2 linked regions of the Drosophila melanogaster genome follow. Each later gene encodes a partner of the first gene's protein in a complex. Each region holds a gene or a part of one and is shown in the gene's direction. Other genes may lie near its edges.

Region 1 (8,805 bases):
ACACTATCGCCTGGCCTAAAAATCTCAAGAAAACTGTATCCTTAAAAAATAAATTACTTTTGCATAGTGTTTTGCAATAAAATATACGAGGTAACATTTTCAATGCGCAGAAATTGCTGTTGCCAGTCAATGTCGCTTACCTGGTCAATCTTAAATGTTTTCAAGCGATTTTCGCCAATAAACTGGCCCACGAGATGGACAAAGCAGCCTTTTAATGAATAAAACTTTGGTTATGTAATGGTTATCAGTTTCCTGCATTTTACCTGGGCTCCAAGTACTCATAACGCCTTCGAAATCGTAGTAAATTCCCTGAAGGACGGGCCCCGATTCTTTGTTTCGCACGAGCAAGGTGTGTTCTCCACGTTTTCCCACAATGATCCGTAGCAATTTTCCTGAAAAACGATAATTAATGATTTAACTTGCCAAATTTAGCGATATTAATCATTCTGTTTAAAATGTATATAGTAATTTGATTTTGAATGTATTTCAGTTCAGACCCACCGTAAACATTCCAAATAGCATTAATTTCCGGATACATTTTTTGAGTTTTAAGGCAGAAATCCACGCGACCAATTAAACTAATTAAGTTTCGTCCTGGCTTCAACATCGGGGAGCTTGGCAACTCCGCTGATTCCTTTTTGGCTGACATTTCGCAACTGGATTTTTCCAGAATAATCGGTGATGGAACGTTCTCCTTTTTGGGCTGAACTTTCACAGCTTCCTCCACGAATCCATCGTATATTAGCTTATTATCCTTACGACAGACAGTTAGTTTTGTTTGCCGCAATTGGGTGCTATTTTTGCGCAAAAGTTCAGCGGCCGTTGGAAAACTGCGATTCAATTGCGAGACGTTGTTGGTCAGTTGGCTCTTAAATTGAGCTTGGTTGTTACCCAGAGGGGTGCGCGGTTTAACTGAAACAATGTTAATTTTTTGTTAATTTATAAATAGTTCTCAGTATTTAATTGCGGAACTTAACCTTTAGCAAACATTCTTGCAGCCATCAAATTGTAACGGCTATATTCCAATCAGCCTGACCATTTTAATTTTGTCTAAGAATACTTTTACGATTCGTTAAGTGTTGGCTAACGTTGGGAATCGACCACATTACTGAACAAATCGATTGTATCGAATACATATCGATTGCACCTCCAACTGTCCACGCGAGAGTTTTATATATTTTATTTTTACATGCATATTTGTTGATAACTGGGGTTTTCTGTGAACCGCGTTTAACTCTCAGCCAGCCATGAGCACAATATTGGAGAAAATCTCGGCCATCGAGTCGGAGGTGAGTGGAACTTGGAGTACCTGCCGATCTTACAGAAACTAACCTGTCTCGCATCCATTTACCCCGCGGATTCCCCCCTGGATTCTATCTAAATCACCGGGTTGTTGGACCACCTTCTCAACTGAATCCTAGATGGCCCGAACCCAAAAGAACAAGGCCACCTCGGCCCATTTGGGTCTACTGAAGGCGAAGCTGGCTAAGCTGCGACGCGAACTGATTTCCCCCAAAGGAGGCGGCGGCGGAACCGGCGAAGGTAGGCTCTTGGATATATAATTCAGGCAATCACTAAACATTATGTATTTCCAGCTGGCTTCGAGGTGGCCAAGACTGGAGATGCCCGGGTGGGATTCGTAGGGTTTCCTTCTGTGGGTAAATCCACACTGCTCTCCAACTTGGCTGGCGTTTACTCCGAGGTGGCGGCATACGAATTCACAACGTTGACCACTGTGCCGGGATGCATTAAGTACAAGGGCGCTAAGATCCAGCTGCTGGACTTGCCCGGTATCATTGAGGGCGCTAAGGATGGCAAGGGTCGAGGTCGTCAGGTGATTGCTGTCGCTCGCACCTGTAACCTCATTTTCATGGTGCTGGATTGCCTGAAACCGCTTGGCCACAAGAAACTCCTCGAGCATGAATTGGAGGGCTTCGGCATCCGGCTTAACAAGAAACCACCAAATATCTACTACAAGCGGAAGGACAAGGGTGGCATCAATCTGAACAGCATGGTTCCGCAGTCCGAGTTGGACACGGATCTGGTGAAGACCATTCTATCCGAGTACAAGATCCACAATGCGGACATCACCCTGAGATACGACGCCACTAGTGACGACCTCATTGACGTTATCGAGGGCAACCGCATCTACATACCCTGCATATATCTGCTGAACAAGATCGATCAGATCTCCATCGAGGAGCTGGACGTCATCTACAAGATCCCGCATTGCGTGCCCATCTCGGCCCATCACCACTGGAACTTTGACGATCTGCTGGAGCTGATGTGGGAATACCTGCGACTGCAGCGCATCTACACCAAGCCCAAGGGCCAGCTGCCCGATTACAACTCGCCCGTGGTACTCCACAACGAGCGCACCAGCATTGAGGATTTCTGCAACAAGCTGCATCGCTCCATTGCCAAGGAATTTAAATAGTGAGTGCGCTTCACTTTCCCTCTGTTCCCTTGGTTATAATAACATTTATGTATTTCCTTCGTAGTGCGCTGGTTTGGGGCTCATCTGTGAAGCATCAGCCACAGAAGGTGGGCATCGAACACGTTCTCAACGACGAGGATGTGGTCCAGATTGTGAAGAAGGTTTAGACTCTGTGCAACGATAACACTTTGATTACTTGATGGCATTTTTTATTCGAAAATAAAAAACGAATGTGCTTTATGTGTGCGTGGATTTAAGGCGGCTTAAGTTTAAGAAAACCCTCTAATTTTTATTTTATCAAATTTTTTAATTGGCGCGCACAGAGGTAATTTAAATAAATTAAAGCTAGATTTAGCGGGAATTAATTTCACTGCCAGCTCTATGGGAATAACTTTGCTATCACTTGCCCAAGTATATCGATAACCGATAGGTAAAGAAACCGCATATCGAAGAACCTCATAGCACGCTGTTTTGTTGACAAACTTAAATTAAATTATTATAACGAAATGGTGGAGCTAAAGATGGGCGATCACAACGTGGAGGCCACCACCTGGGATCCCGGCGACAGCAAGGACTGGTCGGTGCCCATTAAGCCGCTAACGGAGAAGTGGAAATTGGTGCCGGCATTCTTGCAAGTAAAAGGATTAGTGAAGCAGCACATTGATTCCTTCAATCACTTCATCAACGTGGACATAAAAAAGATTGTGAAGGCTAACGAGCTGGTTACCAGTGGAGCTGATCCTTTGTTTTACCTAAAGTACTTGGATGTGCGGGTGGGCAAGCCGGACATCGACGATGGCTTCAACATCACCAAAGCGACCACACCGCACGAATGCCGTCTGAGGGACACCACGTACTCCGCCCCCATCACCGTGGACATCGAGTACACGAGGGGAACCCAGCGGATCAAGCGGAATAATTTGCTCATCGGAAGGATGCCCCTCATGCTGCGCTGCTCCAATTGCGCCCTTACCGGCAAGTCGGAGTTCGAGCTGTCCAAACTGAATGAGTGTCCACTAGATCCTGGCGGCTACTTTGTGGTGCGAGGTCAGGAGAAGGTTATCCTCATTCAGGAGCAGCTGTCATGGAACAAGATGCTCACCGAGGACTTCAACGGTGTGGTGCAATGCCAGGTTACCTCCTCCACACACGAAAAGAAGTCACGTACTTTGGTGTTGAGCAAGCATGGAAAGTACTACCTCAAGCACAACTCGATGACGGACGACATACCCATTGTGGTGATCTTTAAAGCTCTGGGCGTAGTTTCCGATCAGGAAATTCAATCGCTAATTGGCATTGACAGCAAATCGCAGAATAGATTCGGTGCCTCTCTAATAGACGCCTACAACCTGAAGGTCTTCACACAGCAAAGGGCTTTGGAGTACATGGGTAGGTTTGTTTACCCTAGTTAAATTTTGTTCTTAAAATACCTTTTTTTAGGCTCCAAGTTGGTGGTCAAGCGTTTTCAGAGTGCCACCACAAAAACGCCATCGGAAGAGGCCCGTGAGCTGCTGTTAACTACCATTTTGGCGCATGTGCCTGTGGACAACTTTAACTTGCAAATGAAGGCCATCTATGTATCCATGATGGTGCGTCGTGTTATGGCCGCCGAGCTGGACAAAACGCTCTTTGACGACCGCGATTACTACGGCAACAAGCGACTGGAGCTGGCAGGTTCTTTGCTCTCCATGATGTTCGAGGATCTGTTCAAGCGCATGAACTGGGAGCTTAAGACCATTGCGGACAAAAATATACCCAAGGTGAAGGCGGCGCAGTTCGATGTGGTCAAGCACATGAGGGCGGCACAAATCACAGCGGGACTGGAGTCTGCTATCAGTTCCGGCAACTGGACGATCAAGAGATTTAAGATGGAAAGAGCTGGCGTAACGCAGGTTCTGTCCCGTTTGAGTTATATCTCAGCGTTGGGAATGATGACGCGTGTGAACTCGCAGTTTGAGAAGACGCGTAAGGTGTCGGGACCCAGATCTCTGCAGCCCAGTCAATGGGGTATGCTGTGTCCCTCGGACACTCCAGAAGGTGAGGCCTGTGGTCTGGTCAAAAATCTGGCTCTGATGACGCACATCACCACCGAAGTTGAGGAGCGACCCGTTATGATAGTGGCTTTCAATGCTGGCGTGGAAGACATACGAGAAGTGAGCGGTAACCCCATCAATAACCCGAATGTATTCCTCGTCTTCATCAATGGTAATGTTCTGGGTCTCACCTTGAACCACAAGCACCTGGTGCGGAACCTTCGTTACATGCGCAGAAAGGGTCGGATGGGCAGCTACGTGTCTGTGCACACATCATACACCCAGCGATGCATCTACATCCACACGGATGGCGGTCGTCTGTGCCGCCCCTATGTAATTGTGGAGAACCGTCGCCCGCTGGTGAAGCAGCATCACCTGGACGAGCTGAATCGAGGGATTCGTAAGTTCGACGACTTTCTCTTGGACGGACTAATCGAGTATTTAGATGTGAACGAGGAGAACGATTCGTTTATCGCCTGGAACGAGGATCAAATAGAGGACCGGACTACACACTTGGAAATCGAACCCTTCACTTTGCTGGGAGTTTGTGCTGGATTGGTGCCCTATCCTCATCACAATCAGAGTCCCAGGAACACCTATCAGTGTGCTATGGGTAAGCAGGCGATGGGAATGATTGGCTATAACCAGAAGAACAGGATTGACTCGCTGATGTATAATCTGGTGTATCCCCATGCTCCTATGGTGAAATCCAAGACTATCGAGCTTACCAACTTTGACAAATTGCCTGCTGGTCAGAATGCCACTGTGGCAGTTATGAGTTACTCTGGCTACGACATCGAAGATGCGCTGATCTTAAACAAGGCGTCGATAGATCGGGGATATGGACGCTGTCTGGTGTACAAAAACTCAAAGTGCACTGTGAAACGGTATGCGAATCAAACCTTCGACAGAATCATGGGTCCCATGAAAGATGCGCTGACGAACAAGGTTATCTTCAAGCACGACGTTCTGGACACTGACGGAATTGTGGCTCCAGGCGAGCAGGTTCAAAACAAACAGATCATGATTAACAAGGAAATGCCCGCGGTAACATCGATGAATCCGCTGCAGGGTCAGTCTGCACAGGTTCCCTACACCGCAGTACCCATTAGCTATAAGGGTCCCGAGCCCAGTTACATCGAACGCGTTATGGTTTCCGCCAATGCCGAGGAAGACTTTCTCATCAAGATCCTGCTGCGCCAGACACGTATCCCCGAGATCGGGGACAAGTTCAGCTCTCGGCACGGACAAAAAGGCGTGACTGGGTTGATTGTTGAACAGGAGGATATGCCCTTTAATGACTTCGGCATCTGCCCGGATATGATAATGAACCCACACGGATTCCCCTCCCGTATGACAGTGGGTAAAACGTTAGAGCTGCTCGGCGGGAAGGCTGGTCTCCTGGAGGGCAAGTTCCACTATGGAACTGCGTTCGGGGGCTCCAAGGTGGAAGACATTCAGGCGGAACTGGAGCGCCATGGTTTCAACTACGTGGGCAAGGACTTTTTCTACTCCGGCATCACAGGAACACCACTGGAGGCCTACATCTACTCGGGACCCGTGTACTACCAAAAACTGAAGCATATGGTGCAGGATAAGATGCATGCCCGTGCCCGGGGACCCAAGGCGGTGCTCACCCGTCAGCCGACGCAGGGCAGGAGTCGTGAGGGTGGCCTTCGTCTGGGCGAAATGGAACGGGATTGTCTCATTTCTTACGGAGCTAGTATGCTGATCATGGAGCGTCTGATGATCTCATCGGATGCCTTTGAGGTGGATGTTTGCCGGACTTGCGGCAGGATGGCCTACTGCTCCTGGTGTCATTTCTGCCAGTCGTCGGCCAATGTCTCTAAGATATCCATGCCGTATGCATGCAAACTGCTCTTCCAGGAGTTGACCAGCATGAATGTGGTGCCGAAAATGATTTTGGAAAACTATTAACGATGCAATGGCCTGAAACCGAATAAAATAATTGTTATATAATAATAATGGTTAATGATGGAAACTAGCTTAGGTTTTCCAATATTTTTGTAAAAACGAATGGTGTGTGAACTCTGGCAAGGGCAAAAATCCTACGCATTCATTAAGTTTCCATGACCGCGAGCTGCAAATGTCAAAATGAAGAGGTTCAAACGAAGTCAGCGAAAGAAAGTCCTCTTGAATTTTAACGAGGTCCTTTTGCATATCAGCTTTCTGTTCGTTAACAGGCAGACGCAAGCTGTTACTGAAAAGGACTGAGCCGTGTTAAATCGCTTATGTTATCCTTTTTTTTTATTGCGCAAAGGATAATTAGTTGTGTCTGCCCTTTTGGCCGAATTTAAAACGTCTGTGTCTGGACAAAAGATTAAGTTGTTAAGATGAAATGTTTTTTGTTATTCTGTTTCTTTGTTTGCTCTTTGTCCTTATAATCCTCTATCTTATGTGTATTTTGTTTTTTGGCTCAGTTAAACTAAACATTCTCGAGCGGCTTGATGCTTCTTAGTAAAACCAATATCGCCAGGCGTTGATTTATTGTTTTCCCTCGATATTGCCTATTGCCTGATTGCCCGTGAGGCAATTACCTGTCACCTGGCTTCGAGGTGGAGCTCAACCCAGATTCCGGCCGATGTGTCAACGTGTCCGTGGTCAATGCACCGCGGTGCATGCACGTGACCTGCGAACTGCAGGCGACACAGCCACCCACACAAGCCAATGTCCTTGTGCGTCCTTTCGAGTGACCTGCGCTTAAAATAGTCACAGCTACCACCCACTGCTGCTTCTCCTCCGCAGGACACGTAGAAGTTACTATGTGCAGTGCAATGACAGCAAACGGGGCAAACTGCCAGCAGCAGAAGCAGCATCAGCATCCGAGGAACCAATGGTGCGCACTAGGATGACAATTTAAGGCTGCCCCATCTCTGATCTCCCCCATACTTGCATGCCCACCTCTTTTCCGGGCTATTCAGTACCGTTTTATACGTGGAAAAACTTTTGAGAATTATATAAAGTTAGTTGATATTCGTATGACTAAAAGAAAACTACTCATTCCTATTTATACCTACATACCTTTATCCTTTATGGAATCCATTTGCTCAATTAGGCGCTGATAAGTATGCAATAAGTTATAGTTTTTATTAGTTTTTAGTATCATAACAGAATCTTTATTTTTCGCCGTGCACAAACTGATGAGAACCCAATCTGGGGCCACCTTCCGGCTTTGGCTTTCCTTTCATGTATTTTGGCCATTTGTCAAAAGTTTGCTTTTTGCTCTTCTTATCTGGACGGTTCGTTGATGTGTGCATGGCAATAGATGTATATAGATTTAAATGGGTGTTGGCCACTTGTGTAGAAAGTTAAGCGTAGTCCAACTGCTCTTTTGGCCGGGTTCCAAGCGGGCGAGGGGATTTCGAATTGACAACACCGGATATCATTGGGCTGATAATGCGCAACCCCTCCCAATGGACTAATTGAATCCGAAAGCACCTTCCGATGGAAATAGAGATTAGATTGCTGGAATCACCTTAACTTTTCAGCCAGGATTGTTCCAGCAAACTCTTTGTGTTTTCTAGGGACTAGGCCACAGCCAAATGTTAACATATTCAGCGAGAGAGAACGTGTTTTTGACTATGTTTGTTTTCTCTTTGTAAGCTTTATGTTTCAATATATTTAAAATTCTAATCTGTTTAGTGTTTTCTTTTAGAAGCACATTATTACCTATTTTACAAAAAATTGATACAATATTAATTAATTAAATAACCAAAATCTACAGGGAATAATTTATAAAAAAAAAAATATAAAAAAAAAAAGTGTTAGGCTTCAAAAATATGTTTACTTATCATGATTAAAAAGAAACATGGCCAATAGGACATAAAACAAATATTATTTGAACCTATCAGTTAACATTCATTTAAAAGCGAGCACTCGCAGTTCGAACTCAACATCTGTTAGAAGCCCTTTCTCTGCGTATAAAAGGCAGTGCTTTTGAGCAAAACGCGCTCATTTCAAAACCGGTGCTCATCGCAACGAAAGCTCCGCTGCGGAGCCGAGAAAATATTGTTAATTCCCATTTGAAGTGCAGCTTGTGGAAGGAAATTCCAAGTTTGTTTGTTCGGACGCCGAGTGCAAGTGCAAGAAGCAAGCGAAAAGTAATCAAATCTATAGAAAAGTCATTTAATGTGGAGCAATTAAGCCTGGAAATAAAGTGCATAGTGAATAAGTAATTTAGTTGGAGCAAACAAAGCCATGGAGACTGCAGCGAACTCGGGCGACTCCAAAAAGCCTTTCAAAGTGAGTTCCCCCTGTAATTGTAAATGGAAATAAAGGCCGCAGACGAACAATTGCATTTTAAGTGCATGCATT
Region 2 (5,224 bases), on another chromosome or scaffold:
AAGTTCGACTGCCACACAGATTTTTTGGCAAGCGGAAATTTTCCTAGCCGCAGAAAAAGCGCTCAGAATGTCGGTAGCCCGACAGCAAAGAGAGCATAAACGCAGAGGAGAGAGAGTTTGGGCCCAAGAGGCAAGAGGCGGACGCAACAGGCCACCCCTAAAGAGACAACATTGGTGAGCGAGCAAGAAGGGTATATTCAAGGGTATGCTCGACCAGGGACTGCCAGCTGCTCAGTCGACCAAGTGGCCTTACCGCTATTCCCAATATAATTCCGAGTGAAATATAACCTTAATCTTACAATACTGCATATAAAAATTAATAAAGATATTATCAAATGGAAAAGATAGAGGCTCAAATTATCATTCGATATTTAAGTATAAGTAAAGTGTTTAGCAGGATCAAGATATGCTATTGTGCCAACATACCCTAACTCCCTTCGCGTAAGGGGATGCGAAAAGTTTATCCAAAAAGGAAGCTCCGAAGTTAACTGGCGCAAAGCTCCGTTGCTAGGCTGGCCGGCAATCGGATAGAACAGAAGGTTCAACGATCCATTACGATTATTAATTTTTGCATATAAATTTGCATTGTACAGAAGTATGTGTATATATGATTATATGGACACGTGATGTCAGTATGTGTGTGCGTGGTAAACAAAAAACCGATCATCAGCTGTTAGACGGCGCTTATCAGCTGGCAATACAGAAAAAAAGCAACGCGGAAAAGAGCCCACTGTCCAACTGTCCCACTTCCACCTAGAATTCCACTGTGCTGACCTTGACAACCTAATCTCCTCCACAGAAAACAGCTTCGTCTCGCTCGCACTGCCATTATGCAAGTGCGTGAGCATCTACTTTCCTTTTATCTTCCGCTCTCTCTTTCGCTCATCGTGAGTGACACGCGCAGAAACCGTGCAAGTAAAGCTCGCCGGCCTGCAGCTTTTGTCGCCGGAAAACGCACGAGAAAAGTTCTGAAAGTGAAAGTGCTTTTCCAGGCTTCAGTCAATATGTAATGAGTACTATGTGCCGTACTATTTAACCTTGAACTTGTGGATAAAGGACGTTAGCGCCGTTAACATTTTGAAGCTCGGGTCTGCAACAACAAATGCTTATCACTGAGACGCCGAAACAGCAACAAAATTTCAAATATAATTCAGACAATCCGGCACAGAGCAAATTTATGCAAAATTACTCATCATCGCTGAAAGCGTCGTCGTCACAGAGCAATTAAACAATTGCGATAGTGGAAGTTTACAGCGGTTCAAGATTATTATTGCTGCATTATTTCCGATGGCATGTTTAATAGGGTGTGATTGCGATGGTGTAGGTTATTTTACTTGTGGCGCGCTCCGCATGGAATGACTTCTATTTCACCTTTACACATTTCGCTAACGAGGTTCTTTTGAGATTGTATGGGTGTGCGAATTGAATTCGCAGCCGTGCTTGTGTGTATGTGTTTTGTGAGGCGGCAAACGCAATTCTACATAATGTGGAGAAATTGCTTGCATCATCAACAACAGCAAAAACAAATGTCTTGCCCCCGCCAATTTCGTTAGCAAAATTTCTAGCGTATTATAATGGAATGATGTTTAGCTTGAGGTCGTATCAAGAAGATCTGATAATTACCTGTTTTTGACAGTAAAGGTGAACTCGCGGAAAGATGTATTTGCTCTTCCTGTTTTGGAATTATTTTAATTCAATTTAAATGCACAGGCAGCGAACACTCCAATCAGAAACAGTGCGTCCGGCGATCTGTTCGAAAAAACAGTTGGCACCAATGAGCCTAAAAAAGCCACTCGTTTTTAAAATAAATACCATTTGGTATATACATACCAGATTCACGATATAACATTTGGGGTCTTCGGAAAGCTTTAAATTTTATTTAAAGCAATTTGTAATAAAGCCTAAAACATATGCTCCTTATTTATCCTCATTTATTCAGTTGCGTAAAGTATTATTTTTAATAGAACAAACTTATATTTTTAAAATTGGTTTGTGATTTTTGTTATTTTTTAGCTTCTTCTTAGCAGCGGTAGCCATTCGCCCGGAACCGTTTGTTTTTGTTTTGCTTTTCACGGTAAGCGTGTTGTTTTTCTCGATTTAATTGAATTTTAAATAACAAATTTTCGAGAATAGAAAAATGGCCACTGAGGTGTCGCAACTTTTGCTGGCGGTGGTCCAGGGCATCCCAGCCGGTGCCACCAACGATGACCTGACCAAGGCGCTGCCCGATGTGCCGGCGGCCACGCGGGTGGAAGCTTTGAATATACTGCTGCAGGAGGGCGGGATCGAGATCCTGAAGAAGGGTGAAAAGCTGGTGTACCGTGCCAAGGACCCGGAAAAGAAGAGTGCCCTGCCCAAGGATGCGGACAATGAGGAGAAGGTCGTCTACGGCATTGTTGAGGAGGGCGGCAACAAAGGCATCTGGATTAGGGATATACGTATGAAGTCCAACCTGAACATGATACAGCTCAACAAGATCCTCAAGAACCTAGAAACCAAGAAGCTCATCAAGGCGGTCAAGTCGGTGAACGTAGGTTCTATGATCCCATATTCCAAGTTCAATGTGATTCCAAATTTTCTTCGCGCAGGCCAGCAAAAAGAAAGTGTACATGCTGTACAACCTAGAGCCGGATCTCTCCATTACGGGAGGAGCCTGGTACCAGGATCAGGACTTTGAGGTGGAGTTTGTGGATGTGCTCAACCAGCAGTGCCTGCGCTTTCTGCAAATGAAACGCGACAGTGCGGAAAAGAAGCGCGAGGGGCCACTGGCCTTCAAGCAGATGTCTTGCTGCACGGTGAACGAGGTTCAGAAGTTCATCTCGGACTTGGGCATCAGCAAGGTTAATCTGGCGGAGGCCGATCTGGAAACAATTCTCAAAACAGTGGTGTACGACGGCAATGCGGAGCGAGTGCGCCAGCAGGATGGATCCTTCGTCTACCGGGCGGTGAACGCCCCACTTCCTCCGACTGGTCTGGTCCAGATGCCATGTGGCATTTGTCCCGTCATCAAAAACTGCTCCAATTGTGGCGATGTAACTGCTATAACTTGTGAATATATGCGAGATTGGTTGGATTAGGGATTAGCTCGAAAACTCTGGATTTTATTTTATATTAAGTATTACAAATTGAACTTATTGTTTATTAAGCTTTTTGTAGCACAAACATTATTAACTCTTAAATGTTATGGTTACCATAAAAAAAAGGAAAATTTGAAACCGATTTTTTAAATCGCAAACACATATCGTATTTCATCATTCATCGCTACGATATTCGCAGAATATGTCAGCTGGTTGCCAATCGCCCGGAACGCATGAACAGATACGTGGCTGTTGAATATGTGAATGAAAACTCGAAAATTCCGACAAAAGCTGCGAAACGAAATAAAATTTAATTTTATTGAGGCGTTATTATGCGATAGCTGTCCCAAGGCCGCCAAGTGCAATTCCTCCGCCGCCTTAGGAACCCCGAATTTAAGGAAATGGGTTTGTGCAAGTGCCCCAAGCGCCTGGTGACCAACCAGTTTTGCTTTGAGCATCGAGTCAATGTTTGCGAACACTGTATGGTTCAGTCTCATCCAAAGGTAAGGATTCCTGTCCTCTAGTTTTATGGATGCTTGGAATACACCATATCCACTCTTTTTCAGTGCATTGTGCAGTCGTATCTGCAGTGGCTGCGGGACAGCGACTACATCTCCAACTGCACTCTGTGCGGCACCACATTGGAGCAGGGCGATTGCGTGCGCCTCGTCTGCTACCGTAGGGATCTGCCAGTTTTGAGCTAATCCAGACACCACACACTTACCCATAATCCTGCCATTTCCAGATGTTTTCCACTGGGACTGCCTGAACGCCCGCCAAGCCGCACTGCCTGCCAACACAGCCCCTCGGGGTCACCAGTGCCCCGCCTGCAGTGTGGAGATCTTTCCCAACGCCAACCTGGTCTCCCCGGTGGCCGATGCTCTGAAGAGTTTCCTGTCGCAGGTTAACTGGGGCAGAAATGGCCTGGGACTCGCCCTGGTAAGCATTCCGGGCAGTAAGCTTGTAATCAATTTAAATGTTGAATCTTTCCCAGCTCTCTGAGGAGCAGAGCAGCAGTCTGAAGGCCATTAAGCCCAAGGTGGCAAGCCAGGCGGCTGTCAGCAACATGACCAAAGTGCACCACATCCATTCCGGTGGCGAGCGAGAGCGCACGAAGCCCAATGGCCATGACGCCGTGAGCCCACATTCCGTGCTCCTAATGGATGCATTTAATCCCCCAAGTGCGGGCGACTACGGTGCGCATAATCTAGCATACACTTTGAGTCATATTATAATTATAATCTTACGCACCTGCAGCCAGCAGCAGAAGACCGCTGCTGCCCCGTCAGTCGCCAATTGGTGGGACAGATCGAGACGATAATAAGTACCAGCGCCGCACTCCTGCGGAATTGTTCTCGCGATGGACACGCCGCTTCTATGCGCCCTCCTCGCGGCCGCCGTGGCGTCGCACTTGGTTCCTGGTGACCGCCGGCATTTTGGCCTTTGTCTTGTTCGTCTATCTTATGGCCTGGCTGGGTCGCGGAGGATCTGATGCCGTGGACGAGGGCTGGAATAACCCCAATCCACAGCCGAACCACTACGAATAGGGTGTGCATTCACGGTCGAAATAAGCATACGTAGCATATAATCGATATCCAAGTCCCCGATTCCGAAAGAATAAAACTTTTACAGCTATTTATATAACCTAACATTGCAAAGCGAAATAATACAACGACAAAGAACGATTTTTACTCGCAGATCATCTATCTAGTCAACATGGGGTTTCAATGTCTGGACTTGACTTCCCTCGGCGGGCGGGGTGCGCTTAGCCGGCGTCGATGGCTGCGGCTTACGTTTGGGCGCGTCCAAGACCTCATCGTACTCGTGCAGCTTCTTGGCCAGGAAGTACATCTCAGCCAGGGCTATGATGAGCGCTACAATCACGCCCAGCAAGATGCGAAAGCCGAAAGGCAGCGGGCCCACCATCAAATTGACGCCGAAAAAGCCGAACGTAAAGCCAGCGGCCACGGAGAAGATGAACTGCACCACGGCAATGATTTGCTTGTTAAGGCTCTTAACTGAAAGGGAAGGGAAGAAGAAAAAGGTTTTAAAAGGGCGGATCTAACAAGCTGGGCGTATTCACTTACTCTGATAGCTGATAGTGTCCTCTGGATAGTGTTTTAAGCCGGCATCCACATTCTTGGTCA

The links.
Region 2: Polr3B (region 1) and Polr3F share a complex: the UniProt entries of both Drosophila melanogaster proteins name them as parts of the RNA polymerase III (Pol III) complex.

The regions. Positions count from the first base shown.
Region 1 is NT_033778.4:12,036,176-12,044,980, forward strand, and holds Polr3B (RNA polymerase III subunit B), read left to right. Parts: upstream 1-2,865; 5' UTR 2,866-2,943; coding exon 2,944-3,826; intron 3,827-3,877; coding exon 3,878-6,408; 3' UTR 6,409-6,448; downstream 6,449-8,805. Other genes in the region: CG43191 (uncharacterized protein), read right to left, coding at 54-208, 264-392, 502-912, 978-990; 128up (upstream of RpIII128), read left to right, coding at 1,248-1,289, 1,422-1,542, 1,596-2,436, 2,502-2,604; Drep1 (DNA fragmentation factor-related protein 1), read left to right, coding at 8,689-8,733. UniProt on the Drosophila melanogaster protein: DNA-dependent RNA polymerase catalyzes the transcription of DNA into RNA using the four ribonucleoside triphosphates as substrates. Second largest core component of RNA polymerase III which synthesizes small RNAs, such as 5S rRNA and tRNAs.
Region 2 is NT_033777.3:22,364,068-22,369,291, reverse strand, and holds Polr3F (RNA polymerase III subunit F), read left to right. Parts: upstream 1-1,918; 5' UTR 1,919-1,938; intron 1,939-2,013; 5' UTR 2,014-2,074; intron 2,075-2,132; exon of another isoform or gene 2,133-2,133; 5' UTR 2,134-2,137; coding exon 2,138-2,530; intron 2,531-2,588; coding exon 2,589-3,077; 3' UTR 3,078-3,212; downstream 3,213-5,224. Other genes in the region: CG5382 (uncharacterized protein), read left to right, coding at 3,479-3,580, 3,644-3,755, 3,823-4,016, 4,072-4,273, 4,335-4,624; CG7071 (uncharacterized protein), read right to left, coding at 4,785-5,095, 5,165-5,224. UniProt on the Drosophila melanogaster protein: DNA-dependent RNA polymerase catalyzes the transcription of DNA into RNA using the four ribonucleoside triphosphates as substrates. Specific peripheric component of RNA polymerase III which synthesizes small RNAs, such as 5S rRNA and tRNAs.